Drosophila melanogaster: one gene and its partners. The protein of the gene in region 1 interacts with the protein of each later gene in a biochemical or structural test. Each region holds a gene or a part of one and is shown in the gene's direction. Other genes may lie near its edges. The genes, in order: GNBP1, PGRP-SD and PGRP-SA.

Region 1 (4,536 bases):
AAGTTAGGATACAACAAAATGGAAACCCTAGAGCTTTTGAAGTTTTTGAAACCTACTCAATTGCTTGGCATAGTGGGTCTCCGCGTAAGTGGAAACCGGTTGGAGCATCAGATCTTAAATAAATTAAAAATTAAACCGTTTTCGTAACAAGAAAAGGTAAGTTAGTATGCTACTCACAGGGGAAAAGCCAATCCCCCTTGGGCAACTTGGCGCGCACGACGATTTTGCCAAATTTGAAACTGAAAGAGTTTCTGGTGTGAATTTGGGCGGAGAAAACTGGAGGCTTGATGCTATAGAAGATGCCGTGCGCAATGTTGCACTCCTGTTCCGGACTTTCGACGGCCGTACAGCGATCTCCCAGTTTGAAGCTGCCATCGGTGACCTCGGTGGCGATAGTGGGAACGATATGGAGTTCGCCTTCCTTCACAAAGCAGTTGCGTGCGGCATCGTCGAAGGCCACCAGCTCCTCCTCCACGTGGTACATGCGCTGTCTTAAAAGTCGTAAAACATAAGTATCTTAGACACATCCAATGAGTCCACTTATTTCACTAACCGGATGTCATGCTTCCAGGTGGTCTTGTTCAGCTGCGCCTCCGAGAAGTTGTCCTCAAAGATCAGTTCACCCTGGCAAGTATGGCGTCCATTGCTCACTATCGTTTGGGCGGCCTTGCAGCGTTTGGCTTGCTGTGCAGGAGCTAGGTATGCCTGGCACTCGCCCTCTCCTGTAAGGAATGTTATGCCTCGCGAGCTAGAGTCTTTGGTGGTCAGTAGCCGGGTGTTTATGATCACCCTGGTTTCACTCTTTTCGAAGATTTCCTCATTGAACTGCACCAGCATTGATATCTGCAGCTTGTCGTTGTTCTGCAGACTCATCTTTTGCTTGGAGACCCAACTTCCGTTCACTGCCTCCGTGATGTAGTCCATTAGAGCCGGGCAGGTGTCGTCAATTTGGAACATGTAGAACACCCGCTGTATGCCAGGCTCATCTGGATCGATATGAAAAAAGCAACAACGTGTCGTTACTAAAAGTAATTATTCAAATAAGACTTAGTCTAGGCTGATTTTGCTAATCCACCAATTTATTTGTTTTATATACGTAGTTTTTACTATTGAACCTATAGTGGATTTTCAAATACACTTCAAAGCTTTTTCCATATGAATAAATTAGCCAAACCATTGACATTTATGATGTTATTTATTTAACCATAGAAGTGTTGTAGAAGTCACCTGGTATGGACACTTCGAATCCTTCATCCTTTAGCATTTCAAAATTAATACTGGGTACTTTAAAACCAAAGATTTTATTGTTTGAAATGAGCAATAATAAACATGGCAGAAATTCCCACCTCATGACGCAGTTTTAATTACTCTTAATATGTGTACTAACTAGAATCCGATTAGCGTATTAATCTGAGAAGCTCTGCGGTGGGACTGTTGCATCAGATTGAAAATATTGATCTCAAAAGCTTGTCCCGATTCAAGTTTTTCTCGATTAAAGCTGCACTCGAATTAAATATTAACTTTGTTCAATTATTATTCAATTATAAATATAATGAACTTTTATTTTAACAGTAAGCGGAATAAGGAGAATAAAAGCCCATTAATACATTATTTAATTCCTAGTTCTTTGAAAAATAATATTTTGATTTTTTTTTTTAAATTGTAAGCATTCATTTTTAGTCGTGTAAAACGAGCTTTTGTTATCTCATCAGCTGTTTAAGCTTCCACTCGAAGGTGGATCACTGAGGAGGGGCAACGTTAGAACTAATTTTTCGGGGTCTACGGAATGATTAAAAAATGTCCAAATCCCAGAGAGGCCAGATCGCAGCCGGAGCTGATATCAACGTGGATTTGCATTCGCCGAATCGCGATTGTCCGGACCAACTTAAAGTAAACAAATAATAGTAATCGCTCCTCACCAGCGACAGAAACCGGTCTGCCAGTGAGATAGACACACAGATTGAGTCAGAGGCTCGGGATTCTTGTCGAAAAGTGCTGAACTCGAGGATTCAAAATGCCAGGATTGTGCATTGGAATCCTTCTGCTCATTGGTTTTGGATGCACCACTGCCTACAAGATCCCCACACCGACTGTGGAGCTCCTTGAGACTGGATTTAGCGTTTCCATACCGGGTAAGTAAGGAATGAGCCAGCCTCGTAGTACATAGCTTCTTAATCTTTTTCTTAACCTTACGATCTCTGGGGAGCAATAAAAAACCGAACAATGTTGACAGTTTATAGTTATAATCAGCTACAAATTAGCAAATGAACTTGCTAATTTATCCGATTTTGTTTTTCTTTTTAGATGAAGAGGGCGTAAAAGTGGTGGCCTTTAATGTAAATCGCAATCGGAATTTCACATCCTTCATAAACGAGGGACAGTACAATGTGAGATTGACTGAACCCCAGAACGGCAGGTGGACGACCAACTTCAGTTCGGTTCCCTTGAGATCCCAAGATGTTCTATACCTTTGGACAAGTGTGCAGCACCAAAAGGCTGTGTATCAAGATCTGGCGCAGCCCCTGCCAGTCTGCAATCTCGGCGGAGAGTATCGGCCCAGGGGATGTTCGCCCGGTGATGATGACTTTACGGATGACAACCAGCTAAGTACTGAGGACAGTGCTTTGGAACCCACCGCTCCCTCCGTCTGTGAACCTTCTGAAAGCCAGGTTTCGCCGCAAATCGGTGTTTCCATATGTAAGGGACAACTTTTGTTTGAGGAGACTTTTGATCAGCTGAATGAATCTCTGTGGATACATGATGTTCGCCTGCCCCTCGACTCCAAGGATGCAGAGTTCGTCTTGTACGACGGGAAGGCCAAAGTTCACGATGGCAACCTGGTGATTGAGCCGCTTCTTTGGTCCAGCTATCGCCCGGATCTCTCCATAGCCAACTCCAGGCTCGATCTATCGGAGCGTTGTACTGGAACCCATAACAGAATTAAGGAATGCATCCTGCATTCCACGGGCAGTGGACCCAGTGGGATAATGCCCCCAATTGTAACACCTCGAATCAGCACCAAGGAAACCTTTGCCTTTCAATACGGACGCATTGAGATCCGTGCCAAGCTACCAAAGGGAGATTGGATAGTAAGTGAGATTATGCAACTACAACGTCTTAGCTTTGAAATTAATATTTCCCACTCTTCATAAGGTACCACTCCTACTACTCGAACCCCTCACCGAATGGTACGGGCAATCGGGCTACGAATCCGGCCAGCTGCGAGTGGCCTTGGCCAGGGGTAACTCCGTGCTGAGGATGCCGCGCGGAAAGCTTGTAGATGGTAGATCCCTATACGGAGGACCCGTACTCTCCACGGATGCCCACCAAAGGGAGGACTTATGGCTGAGCAAGCGAAAGATATCCCATTTCGGCGATGACTTTCACACCTACAGCTTGGATTGGAGCAGCAATAGGCTGCTCTTCTCCGTAGATGGTCAGGTCTATGGAGAGATGCTGAATGGTTTCACTGAACTGGACGAGAATCCCAGGTGGAAGCAGGGCGGTCCCATGGCCCCGTTCGATAAAATGGTAAGCCTAGTGATCTAAATTTAACAAGTTTAATTCAAATTTATCTCCCATTTCAGTTTTACATTTCGTTGGGCGTCTCTGTGGGCGGATTTGGTGACTTTGTGGACCATCTTCGCACCGCCACTTATGAGAAGCCTTGGGCCAACTATCATCCCCAGGCGAAGCTGCAGTTCCACCAGGCCCAAGACCAGTGGCTACCCACATGGAAACAGCCGGCCTTGAAGATCGATTATGTTCGTGTCTTCGCCAACTGATAACTAAAATCCATGATTTAGGTAGATGTTTATAAAATTACACATAAGTGAACGTGCCGATCGAAATCTATAAATCTATAAATAAATAAAGTCCTAAGAGAAACTCAGTGAAATCAAATGCTTCAGTATGGTTGCTTATCTGACAGAATGGAGATGAGTCTGGGCATTAATACTAAGCCAGTTGGTCGGCTTTGATTCCTTTCAGGCTCTTCAGCTTTTGGTGAATGTCACTGAAAACGATACATGGATCTGGGCATCGCTTCCAGGTAAGATGGCCACACATTTTGCTGCCTACAATCTATTAATAAGTAAAATAGAAGATCATCGTATTAGGTCGGTGCTCTTTTACACTGAGTTCGAAGGGGACAAGTGTCCCTTCTATGACTATAGGCTATACGGGAATACCTGGGCAGTGGTACCCTCAAAATATCCGCCGTCGTAGAGACCCATCAAAACGAAACTGTGATCAAAAGCTTCAGGATCAGATCCTTGGGAGAAAGCAGTGCTTTGGTAGAGCCTCTGCGGAAATTCCTACCATCATCCGAGAAAAGTAGAGATTGTAAGAAGCTACGTAGCTCTACGAAATACTGCCTGCCCGCGATTTCCCTCACTAGAGACAAACCCATCAGCTGCAAGCTGCAGCGGTAGGCTATTGTCACCGAGTCCTTTGGAGATAGTGAAAATCCTTTGAAAAATTGGAAGCACGTGGTGCAATCACAGGAAGGGAGTGGCCCTTGTGAATTGAAAAGCC
Region 2 (3,171 bases), about 11 Mb from region 1:
ACCAGCTGGTTTTTCCAGCCGCGCATAGTTTTGGCTTCGGTTTTTGGTTTTAGCCCGGCTTTTTCGGGTTTTCTGGATGTTGCGGCTTAGCTCTCCCCACCACTCTCCCCTCAACTCTCATCCCTTTTCCATCGCATTTTATATTCATTTTGGCTTTTAATTGAGGGCGCTTACTTGCATTTTCGTTGTCACTTTGCGACTTCACTTCCTCATCACGCCCTTTTTTGGGGGCTTAATGGCCTGCACTCCGCTTTGTTTTTTGCAGTTTTTGCATTTAATTGCAAAAGTTTTTTAATTAAATCACTGCCTAGAACATCTGTGTCAAGTTGAGGTTTCTGTGGGCTCGTATTAACTGGCATAAAATAGGGATAAATCGGGGGGCCTCAATACATTTAAGGGAAATACGCGGTATAAAGTGTACCATTAGATAGTGGATGTTCAGATTGAAATTGCAATATAAAGTTGTACATGTACATTAGTGTACACAACACACTAAATTATGCGTACAATTATTTTCAAACCAATTATTTTAATTAGGTAAAAAATTAAAACTTACTTACCTTACTTTCTCTGTATTTATACATATTAATCATATTTATCTTTTAAGAATACAGGCTTCCTGTATAAGCATTTCACTATTTTTATACATACATACTTATGTATGCATGTACATACATATGTATGTACATGTATATATCAAACACACACAAAACACATAAAGAAAAAACAAAAAAAAAAAAATAATAATAACCGAAACCAAAGCTTTGCTTTATTCATTCATTCGCTATTAAGTAGTATTTCACAATTGTTTTAAGCTGACCTATGTATGTAAAAAATCATTCTACGTTGCCGTTGTGTAGAATCTAACTATTAAAATAACTGTTTAAAGTTAGTTTAATAAGTAAAGGAGGTAATAGTATACAAACAGAACGTACTTCCGCGCACACTAAAAAAACAGAACTGCTGCAAAAGAAGAGACCGAAATATATTCGATTAAAGAAAGCAAGACGAAATAACGGCACTTGCGCGAAAGCACGCTCTTTCTTTGGTTATGACTCACAATTCGGCGAGTAATTCGATCGCATCAAACACTTACGTTTGTTTACAGAGAGGCAATTGATTACAGTTAGTTCTTGCTCGAAGGCAGGCTTACAAGCTAGAAATAGCGGCACTTGCGCGAATGCTCACTTTTTCGGCTTCTTTTCTATTGTCGATATTACACGCAATTCAACGCTTAATTCGATCGCATTAAAAGAAATCAGTTATTGAAACGCGTAAAAATAGTGCGGTTTAATTATAGTTTGTGTCAGATTGGGATTATAACTAAATAAATACGAGTGTTCCGGTAAAATTAATATTACATCCCGCCAAAGAAAAACATCAAATCAACATGCTGTAAAAATGCTCAATCTGCTGATTCGCGAGTGTTAGTGTAAAATAAGTAAGAACTATGAAATAATCTAAAGCAGCAAATTTTTATTTAATAATTCACAAGAACGTGGTAAGTGATTTAAGTTCTATGTACATTTTACACTTTTTATTACATATATGTCCCCCTTGTGGTGGCCTTGTAGTTTTTAGGGGAATTTCGCTTGGCAAATTTTACCCATTTAGAAAAATTCTGAGAGAACGATATATTGCTATGCTAGTTGTTCTTATAATCGTTACCCCCTGTCAATTATCTATCACTGGCAAGAAAAATCCCCCTCATATATGTATGATACATTCATTTATATGGGGTCGGATGACTATCTCCTTGGGGGCACTCCCCTTATCAGCGGCAATAGGTGCCGCAGCCCATAAGATCCCAACCCAGTCAGTTGACAGACACGCAAGTGGAATGACTTGGATCGGTTTGCTCATCGTTGGCCTCACAGCAATCGCTGTCCAGGGGGAAGTACCGATCGTGACGAGGGCCGAGTGGAATGCCAAACCGCCGAACGGAGCCATAGACAGCATGGAAACTCCCTTGCCACGTGCTGTGATCGCCCATACAGCTGGAGGAGCTTGTGCGGATGATGTTACATGCTCCCAGCACATGCAAAATCTGCAAAACTTCCAGATGTCCAAGCAAAAGTTCTCGGACATTGGCTACCACTATCTGATCGGCGGTAATGGCAAGGTATACGAAGGCAGAAGTCCAAGCCAGAGAGGAGCCTTTGCCGGTCCCAATAACGATGGTTCCCTGGGCATTGCGTTTATTGGTAACTTCGAAGAACGGGCGCCCAACAAGGAGGCCTTGGATGCCGCCAAGGAGCTGCTGGAGCAGGCTGTCAAACAGGCTCAGCTGGTGGAGGGCTATAAGTTACTGGGCCATCGTCAAGTCAGTGCTACCAAGAGTCCTGGAGAAGCACTCTACGCTCTGATACAGCAGTGGCCCAACTGGTCCGAAGAAATGTGAAATATAGAGTGTGCATTGCATAAGGTTTCGACACGTAAAGACCACTCCTTACACATTTATTTGTAAATATAATTATGTATAATTTGTTTTTTTTTTTTTTGCTTAAATACGAATACTAAAATTTTAATTTTGTTGATCTGTTTCCGATGTACTTCTTCGACTTCGCACATTTTTGTCAGCTGCCGCTTTTTTTTTTTTTTACTTTTTTGTTTGTTGCCAGACCCGTTTAATAAGCAGGCCGCTCCCCAGGAGCAGTGCACTGGGCCACAATAGAGATTTGAGACATCACATAGCATCATTCACCGAACCGGAACTTCCGCAAGAAACTAAGCTAACTATACAGAACCCTAGATGAAGCACGGAACGCAGATGGAACGAACGTGAACATAGTCGTAGTCGTAATGGTATGCAGTAGATAATGCGCCAAACGAGAGAGGTAAACAAAAGTCGGCAACGTGGCAACAGATGCTGTTACAGATTACAGATTTAGAAAATATAAAACAAGGAACTATACAAAATTCGTAAAGTACTTAGGTAAATTGCACTAATATAAACTCCCATTTGAACTGCCGCTCGCACTGTCTGTACTGCCGACAATGCTGCCATTTCCGCTCATATTACCATTGCCAATTCCTATGCCAATACCGCTTCCGTTTCCGCTCTGTTGGGCAAAGTCCAGCTGGAGCAGCCAGTTCCTCTTAGCCAGACCTTCGGGCGTCTCGCCACGCTGCGTACACAGCGGCTGGAAGCAGGTGGTCAGTCCAACGCTG
Region 3 (3,449 bases), on another chromosome or scaffold:
TAGTTTTTTGGCCACAACATTGGAAATAATGACTGGTCTATGCCACCCGGATGCGTTTTCATCCAGGGTATCAGCAAGGCAATTCAGCCAACAACGCCAACAAGTTGACTTGACTGCTGGCTAGCGCGGTATAAATGACGCCTGACGTCATGATGTCATCGAGTGAGCGGCAGAGCAGCCAAGCAGCGGAGCGGCCAACCTTAATATTTGTAATCTTCAAGTGCAACTAGGCCCCCGGCCACGCCCCCTTGACACTGTTCATTGGCCGCCCACGGATTGGCAATTAAAAAGAAAGGAATTAAACTTGCTAGTGGAAGCTCCTCGGACTTTTTCTCTGACTCAGCGCCACCTGAAAGTGGAGAGTGAGAAAAGTGGGTGAGGGCGATAGAGAGTGCACTGAAAAGAAATACTAGTGTGTGTTCATATTAGAATTAGAATTATTATATAAATATGTAAGATATGCATAATCTATCTAGTACCACAAAGTATATATGCACACTGAATTTATATGATTAATAATATCTGATTGATCTGCTCGTACATTATTTATGGATAACCCCATTTATAAACAACATATCTATTACCAATGATATCCAATACCATGTCTATAACCATTTGTTTATATCATCAATTACAAAGCCATAAAAACTTTGATAAACATAATATCACTTTCGGTGAAGTAACGCGAAATTAGATAGTCTTTCTTGCAGTGCAGCAGTAAAACACTGAGCGGTAAGTCTGATGAGTAACGCTAGTGCGGCGGAGATGACGCCGGATTGCCCCGCCCTGTAGTGGGTGGCAGTTATCGGGCAAACGGCTTTTATCAATAGCACCAATAATAACAGAAACCAAAATAGAATGAATGAATGAATAAAAAAATGCATCCAGTGGTTAGCGTAATGCATTTGCAATGCGGATCGCCTTCGGTGGAAAACCTTAAGGCAGAGACATGCAAATGCAAATGCCATGAGTAATTCACAATTTATAGACACCACACACATCGCAATCAAGTTCATAGCATGGGGGTCAATTATTATCTACTTTTTAAAAGAATCTTTAACTTTTCCCGCGAGTTATTCATCCTAATGAAACTGCCTTTTTTTAGCTGGCATTTAACACTTTTACCCTTGGAAATTGAAGTTAGTAAAGAAAAGCGGACGGTATTAAACATTTACACGCATTTCATTGACCTACAAAATGTATTGTTTGTTCATTTTTTGTTTTTTGGCAAAAACTATTGAAACTGCCTTTTTTTAGCTGGCATTTAACACTTTTACCCTTGGAAATTGAAGTTAGTAAAGAAAAGCGGACGGTATTAAACATTTACACGCATTTCATTGACCTACAAAATGTATTGTTTGTTCATTTTTTGTTTTTTGGCAAAAACTATTGCCATTACGTTCTATTTAAGGGAAGTATACGTTTTTCCTCGCCCTCTTTTTTAATTCATTAACCATAAATTGATTTAATGAACGACATGTCGGCATGCGAGCCTTCTATATCTTTTCATTTATAAGCTCGAACGATAATATACACAATATATTCGTGAGTAATATTGCTACACTTATACTTTTTTTTTACATATTTACTACTCAATTTGCAAACAAAAAAATAAAAATCTAACGCTCTCTGCGGCTGTTATCAGTGAACTTCTCGCGAGACTTTCAGCTAATCATTAATTTAGTTTAACTGTTAGTATTCGTGTGTACATATCACAAATCTTACTGCTTCTAGGGAAGCATTCGTCACTAGCTGAAAAGCGGAAATTCCATCACAGAGATCGGCTTTCAACCCGTTTTAAATTGTTGTTTGGGCTTTTTGCTTGTCGCTTCGCAAATGTGATGCAAAACAAAAAGAACCGAACAAAGAACGCGGAGATTTGCGACGGATCGGAAGATCTGGAGATGGCTAATGGACGGGAGTCCCCTGTGGCTCTGCGGGATCGTAAGCTCCAGAAAGCTCGGATCGTTGGCCCTGATAAATCCGGCAGATAGCCCATCGAGAGCAGTTCTCATCCAGCCTTAGATCTTAGCACATCAACATCATGCAGCCGGTTCGATTCGGATCTCCTTGGATTATGGCCATTGGGCTGGTGCTACTACTGCTGGCATTCGTCTCCGCCGGAAAGTCGCGTCAGCGTTCGCCAGCCAATTGCCCCACCATCAAGCTGAAGCGTCAGTGGGGCGGCAAGCCTTCGTTGGGACTCCACTACCAAGTGCGTCCCATCCGCTATGTGGTCATCCATCACACGGTCACCGGCGAGTGCAGCGGACTGCTCAAGTGCGCCGAGATTCTCCAGAACATGCAGGCGTATCATCAGAACGAGCTGGACTTCAACGATATTAGTTACAAGTACGGATGGCACCTTCGCAATTATCAAGATAACTATTATGATAATGATCTCTTTCAGCTTCCTGATCGGCAACGATGGTATCGTATACGAAGGCACTGGTTGGGGATTGCGCGGTGCCCACACCTATGGATACAATGCCATTGGCACGGGCATAGCCTTTATCGGCAACTTTGTGGGTAAGTTGCAAATCGATATTCTCCGCTATGTGGAGCACTACATGCCCAACATCTCCGATAGATAAACTTCCATCGGATGCGGCTCTCCAGGCGGCCAAAGATCTGCTGGCCTGCGGAGTGCAGCAGGGTGAGCTGAGCGAGGATTACGCCCTGATCGCCGGCTCCCAGGTGATCAGCACCCAGAGTCCCGGACTGACTCTATACAACGAGATCCAAGAGTGGCCGCACTGGCTCTCAAATCCCTAAATCAACTACAAGTAATTGCAGTAGTCTGCCAGAATGAGCATATCAGTTTAGTAAAGTAAATAAACCAATGTTGTTGAGTATTTTTTTGTGGTTTTTATTTTATAATTTTCTATTTTGTTTTCTGTCATAATTTACAAAAATGTGTCGGACGTAAAAATATATATGAATATATAGTGTAGTGTATGGGTGGGTGCCTGCATTCTTATGCTTTATAAGTAACATTTGTGTGCAGGCGAAAACAACTGATCGGGTTAATTAGGGATTTAAAGGGTATATGGAAAACGCTACAAATAGTGTCTGACGTTGGCTTGTTTTGTTGTTGTTTTTAATAACTAGGGTCTTTATACTAACATTAGGCAAAATAAGAATAGGGATATTCAAAAAAATGTGAAAGTACTTTGCAGAAGAGTGACAAGAGTCTTCCAGTTAGTAAACAATTTCATACAGTGGGTTGTGCAAAGAAATAGATTCGCATTATCGAATACAGTTCGAGAATTGCAACTTGAAACAATTTGTGCAAATATAAATGGCTTCGAATTCGCTTTTCTGGTTAACGCAAACAATTCAAAATGTTTACTTTACCACAAAACCAAATACGAAACTGTAGGCTAATTTATACAACTTGTTTAAAGCTACTTTTGCAAACAGTATTGAATTTTGTATGAGAGACCTAT

The links.
Region 2: the proteins of GNBP1 (region 1) and PGRP-SD form a complex in vitro, tested with the Drosophila melanogaster proteins (one study listed by BioGRID).
Region 3: the proteins of GNBP1 (region 1) and PGRP-SA form a complex in vitro, tested with the Drosophila melanogaster proteins (2 studies listed by BioGRID).

The regions. Positions count from the first base shown.
Region 1 is NT_037436.4:18,673,992-18,678,527, forward strand, and holds GNBP1 (Gram-negative bacteria binding protein 1), read left to right. Parts: upstream 1-1,808; 5' UTR 1,809-2,014; coding exon 2,015-2,132; intron 2,133-2,304; coding exon 2,305-3,089; intron 3,090-3,153; coding exon 3,154-3,531; intron 3,532-3,587; coding exon 3,588-3,785; 3' UTR 3,786-3,885; downstream 3,886-4,536. Other genes in the region: GNBP2 (Gram-negative bacteria binding protein 2), read right to left, coding at 57-113, 178-491, 554-986, 1,228-1,351. UniProt on the Drosophila melanogaster protein: Plays a key role in innate immunity by acting as a pattern recognition receptor for beta-1,3-glucan from fungi and lipopolysaccharide from Gram-negative bacteria.
Region 2 is NT_037436.4:7,649,365-7,652,535, forward strand, and holds PGRP-SD (peptidoglycan recognition protein SD), read left to right. Parts: upstream 1-1,815; 5' UTR 1,816-1,840; coding exon 1,841-2,401; 3' UTR 2,402-2,536; downstream 2,537-3,171. Other genes in the region: CG7492 (uncharacterized protein), read right to left, coding at 2,946-3,171. UniProt on the Drosophila melanogaster protein: Peptidoglycan-recognition protein that plays a key role in innate immunity by binding to peptidoglycans (PGN) of Gram-positive bacteria and activating the Toll pathway. Has no activity against on Gram-negative bacteria and fungi.
Region 3 is NC_004354.4:11,559,929-11,563,377, forward strand, and holds PGRP-SA (peptidoglycan recognition protein SA), read left to right. Parts: upstream 1-1,714; 5' UTR 1,715-2,044; coding exon 2,045-2,352; intron 2,353-2,410; coding exon 2,411-2,529; intron 2,530-2,590; coding exon 2,591-2,775; 3' UTR 2,776-2,851; downstream 2,852-3,449. UniProt on the Drosophila melanogaster protein: Peptidoglycan-recognition protein that plays a key role in innate immunity by binding to peptidoglycans (PGN) of Gram-positive bacteria and activating the Toll pathway upstream of spz activating enzyme SPE.